2 linked regions of the Rhinolophus ferrumequinum genome follow. The main gene of each other region encodes a partner of the protein of the gene in region 2 in a complex. Links are inferred from orthologs where the notes say so. Each region holds a gene or a part of one and is shown on either strand. Other genes may lie near its edges. The genes, in order: IL22 and IL22RA2.

Region 1 (7,947 bases), on a different chromosome or scaffold from region 2:
ATGCTTTCTGGAGCTGCAGGGTAAAAAAAGGCATAACCACTCTTCCACGTGGCAACCTATGGCAAATGTGAAAGCTGATTCTCTCAAAATGGAGTAAAAGCTTTCAAATCTCTGTTTCCCCACACAGATCAACATCATATTTTTCTCTCTCACTTCACTTTTCTAGAAACAAAGTAAACTGACACCAGGAATTTTTCCAACTAGAAGGGCTATAGCATTCTAATACCTTTACATCTAGGTAATGGTTCTATGACAAGAGAATTGATCTTTACAATGAAAAGCTACAAACACCTCATATATCAAAGGAAGAAACAATCATGGTCATTAAATCATGCTCAGGAAGAAATACTTTATAAAAAAATCAAGATGGCAAAAAGGAGGAATTGTGGGTATGCTTGTTACTGAAAATTTCATCAGTCTAGAGCAGGGGTGTCCAAACTTTTTTCAACGTTTTTCACCCAGGGCCACATGCGGTAAAATACACACACAGCCGGGCCACTCACTCGAGGTGAAGTACGGATTGCCTCACCTGGTTTATTTAAGTAAACTAAATACATTTTTGGAATTTGCTGCGGGCCAATTGTACATGGTTTGCGGGCCGCAGTTGGCCCGCGGGCCGCAGTTTGGACACCCCTATCTAAAGCCTTCATGTTTCTGAGGTTTACTTGTTCCTATCTGCAAGGGCATCACTTTCGCTGCTAATAATCATTCCTCTGCATTTGGGATGAGTCACAATTGCTAGTCTGAACCTTCTATTGTTGTTTTTTTGCCCCAAATAGGCCACATGCCAGTATCATTCACTGTGGAAATACACACTATCCTACACCAGATAGATGTTCATTAGGGATTTACTGAGATAGGGAGAAGACTAGAAAGGAAGGAGGAGAGAGAGGGGAAGAAAAGATTTCCAGTTTGGACTTCCATTTCACTATACTAAATCCATTGTTAATGTTTTCATTCTATTTGAAACTGCATAAAGGAAATTGGGGGTTCTTCAGTCTTCCTTCTTTAAATTAAAATCAATAGCTTTGGGATATTATATTATGATAATTAACTATAAGTATCAATCATTCCAGAAATTCATCCTATATGCAAATCCAGCTCTTTTGTTATGGTTGTTCTGGGTTTATTTCTCCAAGTTTTAAATCATCAAATTAATGGCTTCAAAAATCACTTCAAATAAATTTGCCCCCAGGCCCTTTTCTGGTTTTGAACAAGTGCATCTTCAGATTACATGAATCAGTAGGAATCTTAAATTTCCCTAAGAAATACTAAAAGTAATACATATTGCTGTTGGAAGAGTGCTGACGTGGATGCATTCTAGCCCTGGGACTGCCACTGGCTATCCCCAGAACATGGGGTGATGAGATTAGATGGCCTAACCCCAGCCAGTTCTAGAATTCTATGATTCTCAAAATTTGGAAATTTATTTATAAATATATCGACACATCTATCTACATATGCACATAAATTGTCAACCCAATGGTAGGAGAGTAACGTGTCACAACTTGAGGCAGGAAAGAAATGAAAGAAAAAGAAAACATTTTTCTATCCTATTCAATGACTTAGCATAAACAGTTATCAGTAATACCGTTTTCACTGTGTCCTTCAGATGTTGCACATTTCTGTGGATACGCTGCTCACCATTTTCGATATGCTACAAAATGAAAAACAGAACATTTGTTTCAACATTGCCGTACCGATGCTCTATGAACCTCAGTGTCCCTAACTGAGGTATGTCACCTTTCACATGAAATTAAAGTTCTTAGCATTTTTGCCTGCAATGACCTAGATTTCACCAGTGACCTAGATTTTCTGAGCTCTTGAATTCCCTTGGACACCAAAATCCAGTCATTTCTTTTACATGGGACCCCTCTTCACCTTTGGGAACTCCTACTGAGGTTTAAGTTTGTGGAAAGAGTGGAGTGGTTTATGCAAATTCTGTCAAGATTAAAGCCCTAAATGTACCTCACCAAATATGCATGCTCAGAATAAGAAATATACATAAAATGTCTTGTATGAACAATAGGCCTTACTCAATAAATACTAAGTCCCCTTTGCTCTGCCCACTTCACTCAAAACTTTTCTCATAGTTTTAAATGTTCAGAGGCGTAGAGTTCACACACCTTTGATTTTGTCACTTCCTATGACATCAAAAAGGCAGGAGTCTTTGCCCACCCACCACAGACCATTAAAATTTCCCATTTCCCTTTTTCTCTCTTTCCCATCCCCTCCCTTTATCAACTTATACTTGGCAGACCCATTTCCAACTCTAGACATTCTTTCTTAAATCTCCCAACACCTTTTTCATCTACATAACCTGAGTTACTTTTTCCCAAGGACAAATGAGCTTTCTATGCACTTGCCTTTCAGATCCCATCTATCACAATAAACTCAAAATGTGATGGAATCAAAACAAAAACAAATATTCTCTGATTCCAAATGACTCCTATAATGGTGGTGTTGCTGAGGCTCCTCTGACTGCCAGCATGGGAGGGGGCAAGGACTGTTGGAGGCGGAAAGGGCTCTAAATGGAAGAAGGGAGGCAGGCAGGCAGGTAACTAGGTGATCTTAGGCTGGGAGAAGAACTTACACATTGGCTTAGCTTGTTGTTGAGCTTCACCAGGAAGGACACCACCTCCTGCATATAGGGCTGGAATCTATCGGACTGGGGAAGCAGCGCTTCTTCAATGGTAAAGTTCAGCACCTGCTTCATAACATAGCAGCGCTCGCTCATCTGCAAGCAAAAGTGAAGAAGAGGTTGTATTACAGGGCAGTCAGAAGACCCAAACCATCATCACCATCGTTCCAAATAACCACGGCTGACATAGTGCCTTACTCATCACTACTTGACTTACCTTGACTCCGCGGAACAGTTTCTCCATAGATATGAGACGAACATCTGTGTTGTTATCTGCCATACTAGCCTGGAAGAAAAGAAAAGACTAAATGCTCGGACTTCAAGAAAATAGGAAAAAAGCCTGTAAATAGAGATGTACCTTATCCCATCTCCCTAGAGCAGCCCCGTGAAGACTAAAGAAAGAACTTAGATGTATGTCTGAGTTTAAAATAACGTACAGAGGAGTAAAGGGAAAAATCGATAGCCAGATGGGCTGCTAAATGGCTCCTTTTGGGGTAAACCTCAATGTACGTATTTTAAAGGCCAAAATGGTAGGTCTTCTGGTAAAGCCCAATCTCCAAAGAGTCTTTGAAGAGACGAAGAAAATGATCTTTGGTCTGCCAGTAGAGATACCCAATGGGTTCTTTAAATCTTAAATTTACTCTGAAGAAAATTTTAAGAACTATTCGGGTTCCAAGTAGATAAGATGCAAAAGAGAGAGAGATTGAGATGAGTACCTCCTCAGCCAGCCTGAAGGTATAGTTGGTGATATAAGGCTGCTGGAAGTCAGACTTGTCAAGCCTGCAGTGAGACCTAAGAGGCACAGCTGCTCCTTCCTGCACCGACAGAGCAACGAGAAGACAACTGGCAGCCAGAATCCCCATAAGGGAAAAGCTCACAGATTTCTGCGGGGTGGCCATTGCAGACGACTCTAACTCAAGCAACTGGTGGGCAGGGAAGAAACACCTGGTATCAAGAGAATAAGAACAAAAAGGGAAAGAAAATTAAGTATCATGAAATATCACACCAAACAAACCAATCATGGTGAGTTTGCTGAAACACTTACCTGTTTCGATGATTGTGCTTGTGATGAGAAGGTAGAAACTGCTGCTTTTATAGCCCCCAGGACATCAATTTTTTTTTTAAATTGTGAAAACTATGACATCAGCAATTATCTAATTTCCAGTACTGTCTTCTGAGAACTACCTAACCACCATAGGAGCCCACAAAACGCCACCTCCTATCCTTCCCACCTTGATATGTAAGTATTTCCCTAAAACGTCACTATTCGGGCCCAGAGGGTGTTTTTACAGATAAATCCTAGAAATTTTCTAAACCCTACATATTTTTCAAAGAAAACAATTACTCTGTCTTCCTATATTTCAGATCTAGTATGATATTTTTTGATCTCCTATAGTAACTGAGTAAGCATTTTGGTCAAGGACTCATTTTTCTCCGTGCTTCATAGATTCTTATCTCCTTAGAGGTGACCAGAAATAAGGATCTGTGTCCTATATCCTCTGCTTTAAAATAAATAGTAATGATAGCTTGAAGATAATTCCACTTTTAAAAATAATTTTATCTCATTTTCTTAATATGCTGAATCCTAAACAAGTTACATTTTAAAAATCACAGTGTTGGCTAATCTAAACACGGTTTTCCTCCCATTCTGTGACTTTTTAAACGTGATCGTAACAATTATGGTAGGTACAAATATACCTTAAAATTTTTTTCATTGAATTATAATCAATATCAATTGAAGTTTGGAAATATTCATGTAAAATAATCTGGTCACTATTTTTCTTAACATGCAAGTATGTAAAGAATACAGTGATATAGTAGTTCATCTTGATATTTTCACCTGCACTTATTCTAAACAACACACAGTCTCAAATGATATTTCCAAAAATCTTGTAATAATCTTTAGTATATATGTGAATGTCTGAAGAAGATAATCTGGCTAGATAGTGGTTATATGTTGACTTTAAATTATTAAAAACACATTGAGTTCTAAATAACACCTAAAATCTAGACTGGAAACCCTTCCAAGGGGTGTGAGCAGGGAGCAAATGCATTGATCTATTGCTAGAAGAAGGAATGTGAATTCGTGCAAATTAGTTCAATCAAATTTTTCTTCTTACAACTAAAAACCAGGAGTGTTGATGAACGGGAAGAAGGAAAGTGAATAATTATAGAATTTTGAGCATTTTATTCTTGAGATGGCACAGACCTAGGTAAGAAGTTACAGTACAGGGTGGGAATAGCATGAAGACACTGAGCATTGGGGAAGAAGGACTTCGGAGAATGATGCAAAAAGGAGGGGTAGGGAAGAGTAAATATTAACCAGGGCTCTTCCAAACATTTGCTTGGGAAGGTTCATGAGCCCAAGATGAGGAAACTCTTCTTTATCCAATTTCTTATAATGTAAGATATGGCCATTTTTATCCAGAACTCTCTAATGTTTTATCAGCACTAGAGTTTAACTCCACTGTGGATTAAATAGGCTTTGGTTGGTTTGCCTGGCAACCTGACAAACATATATAATCTCGTTCCCATGGGAAAATTAGTTTGGACGTCATTGAATTGAGGGGAAAATCTCTGTCTCTTCCATATTTGTATCTCCAACACTTAGAACAGTACTGCACACACAAGAAGGACTCAATAGGAACATATTGCATGAACAGATAAACAGATCTGTGACATTAAAGAATTTACTAAATATCTTTAGGAACATGCATGGAGGTAATTTGGGGACTGCCTTTATAGTACCTCTAAAGCTGGGATTTGACCCAGTACTACTTGCCGGCTTCATTATTGTTCCTGAATAGGGAATAAATAGTTGTGAAACAAAAATATACTCCCAGAAAATTGCAAACTAGTCTTTAATAGCAGCGACATGACTATTATTCATTTTATGGTCCTGATGAACAACAATTCATAAGATACTGTTAATGGAGCTAAGATCTTATGTTTTAGTGAGCTTGACCAAAACCCACTAAAGTGAAAATCTGCTCTGGGGCTGTGTAAGGATTTCTGAACAGTCATACAGGAAGTCTCAAAAATAGTTGCTATTAGAAGAGATTATGGCTAGAACATAAAACTGTTCCTGTGGAAAAAAATAACTGAAGACATTGTATGTGTGCAAAGTAATTTCAGATCACAGTGGGCCTTCTCTTCAGTTGTTTCCTTATGAAGTTTCAATTATCTCCCAGAAGCAACCCCAGATAAAGGGAACCCCAGTGTCATGCTCCCAGGCCCCAGACAGACTGTACCCATGGTTGATCTTGCGTATATGCAACAATTTACCTGTCTAGGGCCAGGAAGGGCTAACCAGATTCGCCAACCATAAGGTAGGCTATTCTGTCTTGTTAACTATACTAGCCCTAGCACGCAGAACAGTGCCTGGCACACAGCAGATAATAAATAAATACTCACGGACTGCATGATAAAACCACTTCCCAGCTCATTGGATGGTGCTTGGAAATCCACAATGCATTCTTTTAAAGTACACATCTCTCCAGGAGAAGTGGGACTTTAAGTTACTCAGGTAAAAAGTATTATATTCATGATATTCCTCATACAACACTCATGATCATTATTTCATACAAGGTTCTCTCTCTCTCTCTCTCTCTCTCTCTCTCTCTCTCTCTCTCTCTGTGTGATCCCACCCTCATTGTTCTCCTTCCCTCCACACCAAACACCCACCACCACCTCTGTGCCAGTCATAGACATCTGCTGTAATGTATTTGATATACATTTCTGAATATATATGCATCCTCACAAAACATAAAATATTGTTTAGTGCAGGTAGGTATTTTTATTTTGTCTGAATGTTTCTCTGTCTTAATCTTTCACTTAGCGCTACGGTCTTACACTCTACCTGTGTTGCTGTGTGTAGCTCCTTTTGCTAACATGCCATTTCTATTGTGTATCCACATTTTACTTACTCATTTCTCCTTTAATGATCACCTACATCACCCCCAATTGCCCACGCTACAGACGTTGCATCACTAAGCAACCTCTTCCAAGACATTTTAATGACATTTTTGAGAATATCTTTGGAATAGTTACCCAGAAGTAGCTCCCACTGGGTCACAGGGATAAGTTCATTTGCTTTTACTAGATATGGCCAGATTGCTCTCTTGAAAAGCAGCATCCACCTACTCTCTCAGATCAATGAAGAAAGGTTCCAGTTTTCTTACATCCCCACCCATACTTGCTACTTTCCAGCTTTAATTTTGCCAGCTTTTGGGGATTTAACATATTATCTCATTATTGTTTTAATCTGCATTTTTCTTCACACATTTGTAGCCACTTGGGTTGCCCTCTTTTATGAATTGATTGTTTACATCAGTTGCCCACTGTTATTGTGGGCTTTTGTCTGTTGTTGTTGTTAATTTGGAAGAGTACCCTGCATATTTTAAATATTACTGTCTTTGGGGTTGTAGACATAACAAACTCTTCTCTCAATTTGTGTTCTATGAACTTTGTCTATTTGTCCTTTGTTGAACAGAAAACTTAATTTGGGTGTCATTTAAGACATTTTTCATTATGTGGCTTGAACTTTTCAAGGCTTTGTTTAAAAAGTCTCTCTCTATCCTTAGGTACCAAAGATATTCTTCTAGCTTTTCTTCTATTTATTCTATGGTTTTGCCTTTCACGATCAAGTCTTTAATGCCTTTTTGTACATGATGGAAAGTAGGAAGCCAGTTTCATTTTCTCCACAAAGTGAGCCAGTTTTTCCAATACAGTTCACTAAACAGTCCTTTATCATATGTTTCATATGTGAATTTCCCATATATAAATAGCTATCTCTGAGCTCTCTACTTTGTTGCACTGATTTTTTTTTCTTATTGTTCTTGAGCCAGTTCCATAATATTTTTGTTAATGAAGAGTGTCTTTATATCTGGACAGGAAAGTCTACCCTCTTTGCTTTACTTTTTTCAGGGCTGATTTAGCTATTCTTCATTTTTCATATATATTTTTCATACATTTGTAATAAACTTGTCAAGTGTCTGGGGAAAAGGCAGCAGAAACTTTCATTTGGCTATTGTTTAATTTAAAGATTAATTTAAGGGGAATTAACATCTTTATAATATGAACTCCTTCCACCCAAGAGCATTTACCATCATCTCTTTACTGCTTAGGATCTTTTTTTATACCCTTGATAATGTTTCTAAATTTTCTCCACTGAAGTCTTGTGTACTATTTTTAATTCCTAGTTACTTTACAGAAGGAAAGTCTTATTCTGTTCGTTATCACTTTCACCTTGGTGTGAATGACTACCACGTTGACTTGGAGAAAGAAACTATTCGGACGCTCATCTC
Region 2 (7,553 bases):
TGGAGGAATTCCCTGATAATTTCTGAGCTGAGACATGAAGGAGGTGAGGGAGTAAGCCTGGACATCTCAGGAAAAACAGTCAAGCAGAGGAGACAACTAGTAAAAGTTCATAGTGTGGGGATGTGCCTGTCATGTTTGAGAAATAGCAAAAAGACCTTCCAAGCTAGAGACCTGAGGGTTAGAAGGAGAGTTGTGGGAGATGATTTTAGCATTAATGGGGCCAGATTACTGGGCCTCGTACGTGACTGTAAAACGTTTGACTTTCATTCTGAGAGAAATGGGAAGACACTGGAGGGTTCTAAGCAAAGGCTCTGATCTGTCATTTAAAAGGAACACTTTGCCTAATGCAGAGGACAGTGGCAGAGGCAGGGAGAATGGAAAGGAAGCTATGGCTACAAACCAGGCAAAAAATGATGGTAGCGGGGACCTAAGTAGTTGCAGTTGAGGGGGTGACAGCTGGTTGGATTCTGCTTATGCCATGAAAATCTTTCTAGAGTGGAAACAACGTACAGGCATATGCTAATTCATGGGCACAATGATTAATCATATCCAGCAGGGTTTTCAAGGTCAGTGAAAGACCTTGGTCAAGGACAATCAAAGCAATATTTATAGCATCTTTTAATCAGAATAATATGAGTGAAGAGCAGAGAAAGTTATTCATGAAACCGTAAGTCCCATGAATGGAGATTTTAAAATAATGTGTTAGTGTTCATAGTCTAAAAATTAATCAAAATTAAACTTGATCAGATTGCTCATTGTATTTATTGCCTATATTTGACAAAGAAGTTCCTTTTTAAAATTCAAGTTCATCAACTATTTTGAAATGCATGACAATTATTTCCAGAATGCAGAACTGCTTAAAGGTCATAGGTATTACTCAGCAGAATTATTGAGGGACCAGCAGACACAAAAAGAACAAATAGTTTCCCAGTTTTTGGTGCTACAGGTATATGGTTCTCCAAAGGTCTGAAGGAGAGAACGGTGGTGTTCAAGCTATCATTCATTGTGAAACTTTAAAAAGTTATCCTGTTGCTTACCAAGTTATAGAATAAGGGAAAGGGCCTAGAGCAGAAACCTAGGCCATCTGATCCCAAGGAAGTAGTCCAGGACACCAGTTTTTAAACACTTTTCTAAAGGAGAATAAGGAACATGTGGCCCTTCACTACAAGACCTAGCTGAAGGACGTGATCTCGCTCCAGGAGCACTGGCTCTGCCATCTTGTTTACTACTGCTTGCCTAGCATGGTACCTGGCATACAGCACATGCTCAGTAGATTTGTTTGAGAGACATATGTGGAATATAAAACTGAAAGCAATAAATAAACAAGACAAACAAAAACTCATAGACACAGACAACAGTTTAGTGGTTACCAGAAGGTAAGGGAGGAAGGCGATTGTAGAAGAGGGTAAACGAGGTCAAATATATGGTGATGAAAGGAGAACTGACTCTGCGTGGTGAACACACAGTGCAATATATAGACGATGTATTATAGAATTGTACATTTGAAACCTATATAATTTTATTAACCAATGTCACCCCAATAAATTTAATAAAAAGAATTGATTGATGAATAAACAATGAAAGGAACGAACAGCAGAATCTTCTTTGACATCATTTTATCCATTTATGGAGGGAATATTACAAATGAAGAACAATGCATGGTGATTTTATAGTAGACCTCAGGCCCTGAGATCAGCCCGACCTGATTTTACTCCTGACTTAGTCACTACATGCACTGTAGAGCCTGGTCAGTTTGTCTTGGCCTCTCTCTGTCTCAGTTTCTTTATCTGTTATATCAGGATAATAATACCAATCCTGAGCTTGTTGTGAGGTTTAACCAAGAGACGGCATGGAAAGAAATTAACCCAGTGCCCCACAATTATTAGATCTTACCATTGGTACTGAAGTAGCATTAAAGTTACCAAAAGGAGTTTTATAAAGATGGCATCTTTATAAACTTTAAAAATGTTTTTCTTTTGTTATGAAAAATTTCAAGTATATATACAAAAGCAGACAGCATAAAGAACCTCCATGTACTCAATAACCAGTTCCAACAATTATCAGCTCATGGCCCCCTTCCCCAGCCCCTTGGATTATTTCAAAGAAAATACGAGACATCGTGTTATGTCATCTGTAATATGTCAATATATAGCTCTAAAAAATAAAAAAAGTAATAACCAAAATCCAATGACACACTTAAAAACAAGTAATGATTCATTAATAAGATGAATTATTGGCCTCTTGGAAGCCACAAAGAGAAAAGAAGAGAATCAAGGCCGGAGTTTAGTCAAATTTTCTCCAGACAAAACACAATGGAAGCATCCACTCTTACTGTCAAGGTGGACCCTTCCTGCTGAGGTTTGAGCGGGGTGGGATAGAGGGGAAGGGAGGGAATGAACTTGAAGCCAGAATTTCATTGCTGAAGCAAAGTAGAGCAGGGGTTTCCCCATTTTCTTTAATCTTCTTACTTTCCAAAGCAAATGACATTTTATTTGAAACAATTCTATACAAATTCCTCTGCCTCCAAATTAGTGGGATTTCAGAATTTAGTTTTATCTTTTCATCTCCCTTGAGGCACTGTTGGCAGTGTTGGCTTCTAGTACAGATTATATCACACAATTAATGAGCTCACTGAATGGTAACAACACTGGCTTAGTTTCTGAAATTTCACATAGCACAAAAACTTACACATCTTTGCGAGAACTCATTTCTCGGTATATTCTATGCTCTTCTCCCTTTCCCCCTAATTTCCTCTAACTTTGTTCTACAAAGTCAGTAACTCAGTGAAAAACCTCGATTTCATTCTCTGCTGCTCTACTTATTAAACCTTGAATTAAAATATTTTTCTTTTTATTCTTAACTGGAATTTGGAGCAACTTGATTGCTTCACACAAGAGCTATTGGTGTTGAAGATATTGAACATCAATAGTGAAAACCCAGATTATCACTTCTCCTTTAAAAACCAAGGTGAATGCCATGTCCAGAGTTCAGTGGGCAATATCAGCGAGTAAGTGAAGGATGATGCTGAAAAGGCTAGAAGACAAAGCGCATCAACATGGTGCAAAGGGAACTTAAGATCTACTGCAAGTTTCTTCTCTGAAAACCTACTTTAGTGTATAAGCAATGAACACTTTACTTGGAGGAGATAAAGTCCGAATTCAGAAGTCTGACAGTAGCATGGAGGCAATGGAAAACCTGGTTTTGATGAGTCCCTCCATACTGCTCTGGCAGTATGTCTACTTTCCCGTTTAGCAGTAGGCTTTGGGAAGACAGGGGCAATGCCTACCTTGCTTGCTGCTGTGTCCTTGCTGCTGAGAGCAATGCTTAGCACATGGTACTGCAGCACTTGTTAAATATGATCGCCTAAACGGATGAATGAGCACTGCTCAGTAACCATCGTTATTCCTTACAGAGGCCATTCTACCAAGAACTTGAAAGAGACTACATAGGAGGGAAAAGAAGTCAGAATATATTTCCTCTTTTGAGCTAATGAGCCTCTTTTAAAAAGAATCTTTACGACTTTCTTGTGCTTTAAGGTATAATTCTAGTGCCTCTAAAAACACGTGGTAAATTTTTTTGGTAAGAAAGATGATGTAATGAATCAGGGGCAAACAACAGATGACCTAGTTTGATCCGATTTCCAAGAAGATACGAAAAAGATCTAATGTTTTAGCTCTTTTCCACATCGAAGAATGATTTCTCCACATTCATCCTTTTAAGGACTCACTTCTCCACAACCTTTTAAGGACTCACGTGGTTTGATGCACTCAAAACCTTCATCAGGTTGCTGGGAACTGAGGTGGAAATGGAAAAAGAAGAGGCATTAGCTGAGTAGGGCTTAGGGCCACCATGGATTGGGAAGACAGATAAGTATGGCAGGGAGCCCTGTGGAGAGCCAGAGGATGTGGAGAGTATTAGGTGTGTCAGGGAGGTTAGTCAGGAAGCTTCCAAGAAGAGAGAAAAATAAGAATTAATCAGAGACCCACCTACTTTGAATCACTGTCAGGGGCCTTGACTGTTGCAACTGCCAAACACAGTGCTCAAAATTGTCCCGTCAGCCAAGTCCTGCTGGCTGGCAGCCATCTCTGCCTCCAGGGAGATTACCTGAAGATCTCAAGATCTCGCGTGCTCCATTCGCTCATGTAGGAGCATAATTCCTGCCCCATCCTGCCTCTAGTTTGCCAATCCTCAGTGTTTTGCCTTTCACCACTAAGAAAACCCCGGTCCCAATAAAATCGAGCTTCCACATCAAAGTCACTTACAGTAAATATTTCTTGAAGCAATTCTTCTACTTTCATAGTCTCCCTAAAATAATGAAAGATATTAAGTTAAATTGTATTTGCTTCAAGGAACTATTGGTAACCAAGAGGGATGCTCAAAGTGAAAATGTGAGTTTCCTCTTTTGTCCAGATCTGTGCTCTCACTGAGGGGAACGCTGGCTGTCTGACCAGTCACACGCGCAACCATGACGCGTGAACACTGCTTTCTAGGCTTCCTCATCAGTGTCTCCCTGGCTGGTGTAGTAGGTAAGTGCTTCATTTTTTTTTAATTGCTCACACTTTCATCATCTGAGTGTGTTCAAGGGACTGTTAGAAACGGCACTGGCACTTTGTGAGACTTGGAAAAATTTCAGCTTTCTCCTGTCATGAAATTATCAGCACAGACATGGGGTCGGTTTCTATCTTCAGCCTGAATAACTCCACGTGGACTTACTGAGTAGCTACTAAAGAGGAGGCTCTCTAGTGGGAGCAGAAAACTTCATACAGGACAAATGTACATCTCCGTCTCCTTGGCATTATTTTTCTTTTTTTTTTTTTTTTTTTTTTTTTTTTTGCCTTCAGGGGACATGATAGCACAGTGGGTAAAATCAGTCTCCTAAGTCAGACTGGGTCTGGATTTCAGTTTTGTTCTTTGCTCTTTGGGAAAACTTGGGCAATTGACTTAACCCCCTGTGTCTCCATTTCCTCATCTGTAGAATGGGAATTGCATGTATTATGAGGATTAAATGAATTAATATATGCCAAGTGGTTAGAGCAATGCCTAACCACTTAGAGGCCGTAAATAACATGGGAGAATTTGCTCTTGGTATTCACGGAGAACTCTTCAAAAGCAGAGAACATTTTATCACCCCAACATACCTCCATGTGAGGGGCTAAAGTAACTTTCCCAGGACTGTACAGTTGCCCCGTGAGTGATAACATAAAAACAATTCAAGCCTCCATCTCCCAGAAATGTGTGGATTTGTGTAGACTATGCCTTTGGTAACACCAAGGACTCAATTAGCAAAATACAGCAGGAATTCTCATGCTACCAAAATGATCCTGGCCCTACTTCTTACCGGGCCGATAACCTTGGGCAAGATACACAACTTCTTTAAGTCTCAGCTTTCCTATTGTAAACTATAAGAATAAGAATACCCACCATATTTAGTGGCAGTGGAAAAGAAATAAGATGTAAAGCTTTGAGCACCATTCATGATATATGTCTATTGCTCATCTATGTTCAATGTTCCGTGAACGCCAGCCAGGAGGAGGAGGGAAACAAGGAGGAAAAGGAAGAATATCTTCAGCCTCTAGTTGTTTTGCTTCCTCCATTAGCTCCTCTCTCCTGAGGCTTTGCCCTTGGTTTTCTGTAGTAGGTGACAGGCAGGCTCCGGAATCAGAATTCCCAGGTACAAAATCAGCATCACTATTTGCTGCTGTGCAAGTGCCTTCAGCTCTTCAAGACTTAGTTTTTCAGTCTGTAAGAGGAAGAATGCAATAGTACCTTTTTCATAGACGAGCTGGACAGATTCAATGAATCAATGCAGGTAAAAGACCCGCAGTGTCTGGTACTGAGTGATTTGCTATTATCTTTGATGGTGGTAGCAGTGGTGGTGTTACAAAAACGAAAGAAGAAATCCATAGACAGAGGAGAAAAAGGGCACTGAGCCATCTGTCTGCACAGCAGCAAGTCAACTCTGGCAGGGGCTTTAGGAAATTGTGCTTGTCATCTCCCAAAAAACTCTGGAATTCTTATGTACTAAATATGAGTGGTTAGGTAGTGGTTTTGGTGAGCAAAATCAAGAGTGGCAGTAGACTCTTCCCAAATACACACCACCATTTGATGCACTGAAGGAGGTCCAGAAAATAAAAATAAAAACAAACAAATAACAGTATTAATACTATTTGATTGGTAAAAATAAACACCTAAAGAAACAGCCCCATTCATTAGAAAATGACAAATCTTGAATGTTCAGAGCGGAAATCGTTGATTTAGGAATATTTGCTTCCATCTCAATGATATTTGAGCAAAGACGTGAGGTATGTAGAAATCCAGGGAAAAGTATTCCAGGAAAAGGGAAGGGCTAGTTTGCACACCCTCACATAGAAGCACGAGAAAGAAAATGAGGTCAGGGAAAAGACAGAGATATGCTTCCTGACTTCTCCTGCCCAGCTTCCTACCCCTGATCAGAAACTTTGGAGCCACAGGGGATGCAAAGCTTTACCTGTGCCCACCTTAGGTTTTCAGCTGGGACTCTTTAACAAAAAAAAAAAAAAAAGATTAACAAAAGAAAAACAGTTTGGGAATGCATGCAGCGCACATCACCGGGGAAAATCTAAATGAAGAGTCACTCAAAATGGCAGGTTAGAATCCCACTGATGAGTATGTAGCACCTCCAACAAACACCAATACATTGGTCGAGACATAACAGGACAAATGAAAGCAATTTTAGGCTTCCGAGGGTGGCACACTCTGGAAAAGTAAATACAGAGGATGCCAAAAAAACGTATACACATTTTAAGAAAGGAAAAAAACTGTATTAAAATTGTAATGCTCAATATATACTGATAATAAAAAATGAATACAAGTCACGTTTGACTTCTGCAATTACAAGAGGTGCTCAAAGTGGTTACCATCAGCATAATTTTAATAGTGTTTTTTTTTCTTTCTTAAAATGTGTATAGATTTTTGGGGGGCACCCTCTGTATATGAGAAGAAACTAATGGAGTAAGGCTTGTTTGCAGATTTTTCTGGTGCTGTCTCTGGGCTGAAAAGAGTCCGTCTCCAGAAAAAGGAGAATTTATATCCTGCCTTTAGACAGTAAACTGGGGAAGATAGAAAGAGCTTTTTCTGCTTAATTGTCTTCAGCTCAAAATAATTTTTATGTCAAAGAGGCGTATTTTGGGGTGACATATTTTTACTTCAAACATAGAATAAAATTTTGTCAAAGGTCTCTTCCCTCCATGGGACTAAATGCAAGTGGGGTTGTACCACCTATGTCACATGATCTGAGGAAAAAAGCACAAGCCATGCCAGTGCAAAATTATCCCTTTTCATTCCATGACTGCTGTCGAGACCCTTCTCAGGAACACTAGGCCCCATGGCAGTCTTGGACAGTCTCTCTCGATAGCATGGACCAGTTTATCTGAAGCAACAGGCTTGAGTATTTGAAGCCCCAATGCAGGCAGGTAAGTGCAGCCATTCAGGCGTGGGACAGCAAAGGCTGACCTACCTGGAATAAAGCCAGGCCAGCTGGGAGAGGTGAACACTGAGTCAGGTCGCAGAGGTTA

What was found.
Region 1: the proteins of IL22RA2 (region 2) and IL22 are in contact, whole or in part, in a crystal structure (PDB 3G9V), measured with the Homo sapiens proteins. The link is inferred for Rhinolophus ferrumequinum from reciprocal best matches to the Homo sapiens genes IL22RA2 and IL22. Residues at the interface, in NP_443194.1 of Homo sapiens: Lys65, Ile66, Tyr99, Gly100, Gln101, Arg102, Trp104, Gln128, Glu129, Pro130, Tyr132, Met148, Pro150, Arg151, Thr153, Trp155, Trp156, Glu157, Glu200, Pro246, Met247, Leu248, Asp249, Arg250; in NP_065386.1 of Homo sapiens: Phe47, Gln48, Pro50, Thr53, Asn54, Phe57, Met58, Lys61, Ser64, Leu65, Asp67, Asn69, Thr70, Asp71, Val72, Arg73, Leu74, Lys162, Gly165, Glu166, Asp168, Leu169, Met172, Arg175, Asn176.

The regions. Positions count from the first base shown.
Region 1 is NC_046293.1:64,567,836-64,575,782, forward strand, and holds the start of IL22 (interleukin-22), read right to left. Parts: upstream 3,541-7,947; coding exon 3,358-3,540; intron 2,928-3,357; coding exon 2,859-2,927; intron 2,738-2,858; coding exon 2,594-2,737; intron 1,658-2,593; coding exon 1,592-1,657; intron 1-1,591. UniProt on the Homo sapiens protein: Cytokine that plays a critical role in modulating tissue responses during inflammation. Plays an essential role in the regeneration of epithelial cells to maintain barrier function after injury and for the prevention of further tissue damage.
Region 2 is NC_046286.1:83,244,864-83,252,416, reverse strand, and holds the start of IL22RA2 (interleukin-22 receptor subunit alpha-2), read left to right. Parts: upstream 1-4,313; 5' UTR 4,314-4,465; coding exon 4,466-4,526; intron 4,527-7,553. UniProt on the Homo sapiens protein: Isoform 2 is a receptor for IL22. Binds to IL22, prevents interaction with the functional IL-22R complex and blocks the activity of IL22 (in vitro). May play an important role as an IL22 antagonist in the regulation of inflammatory responses.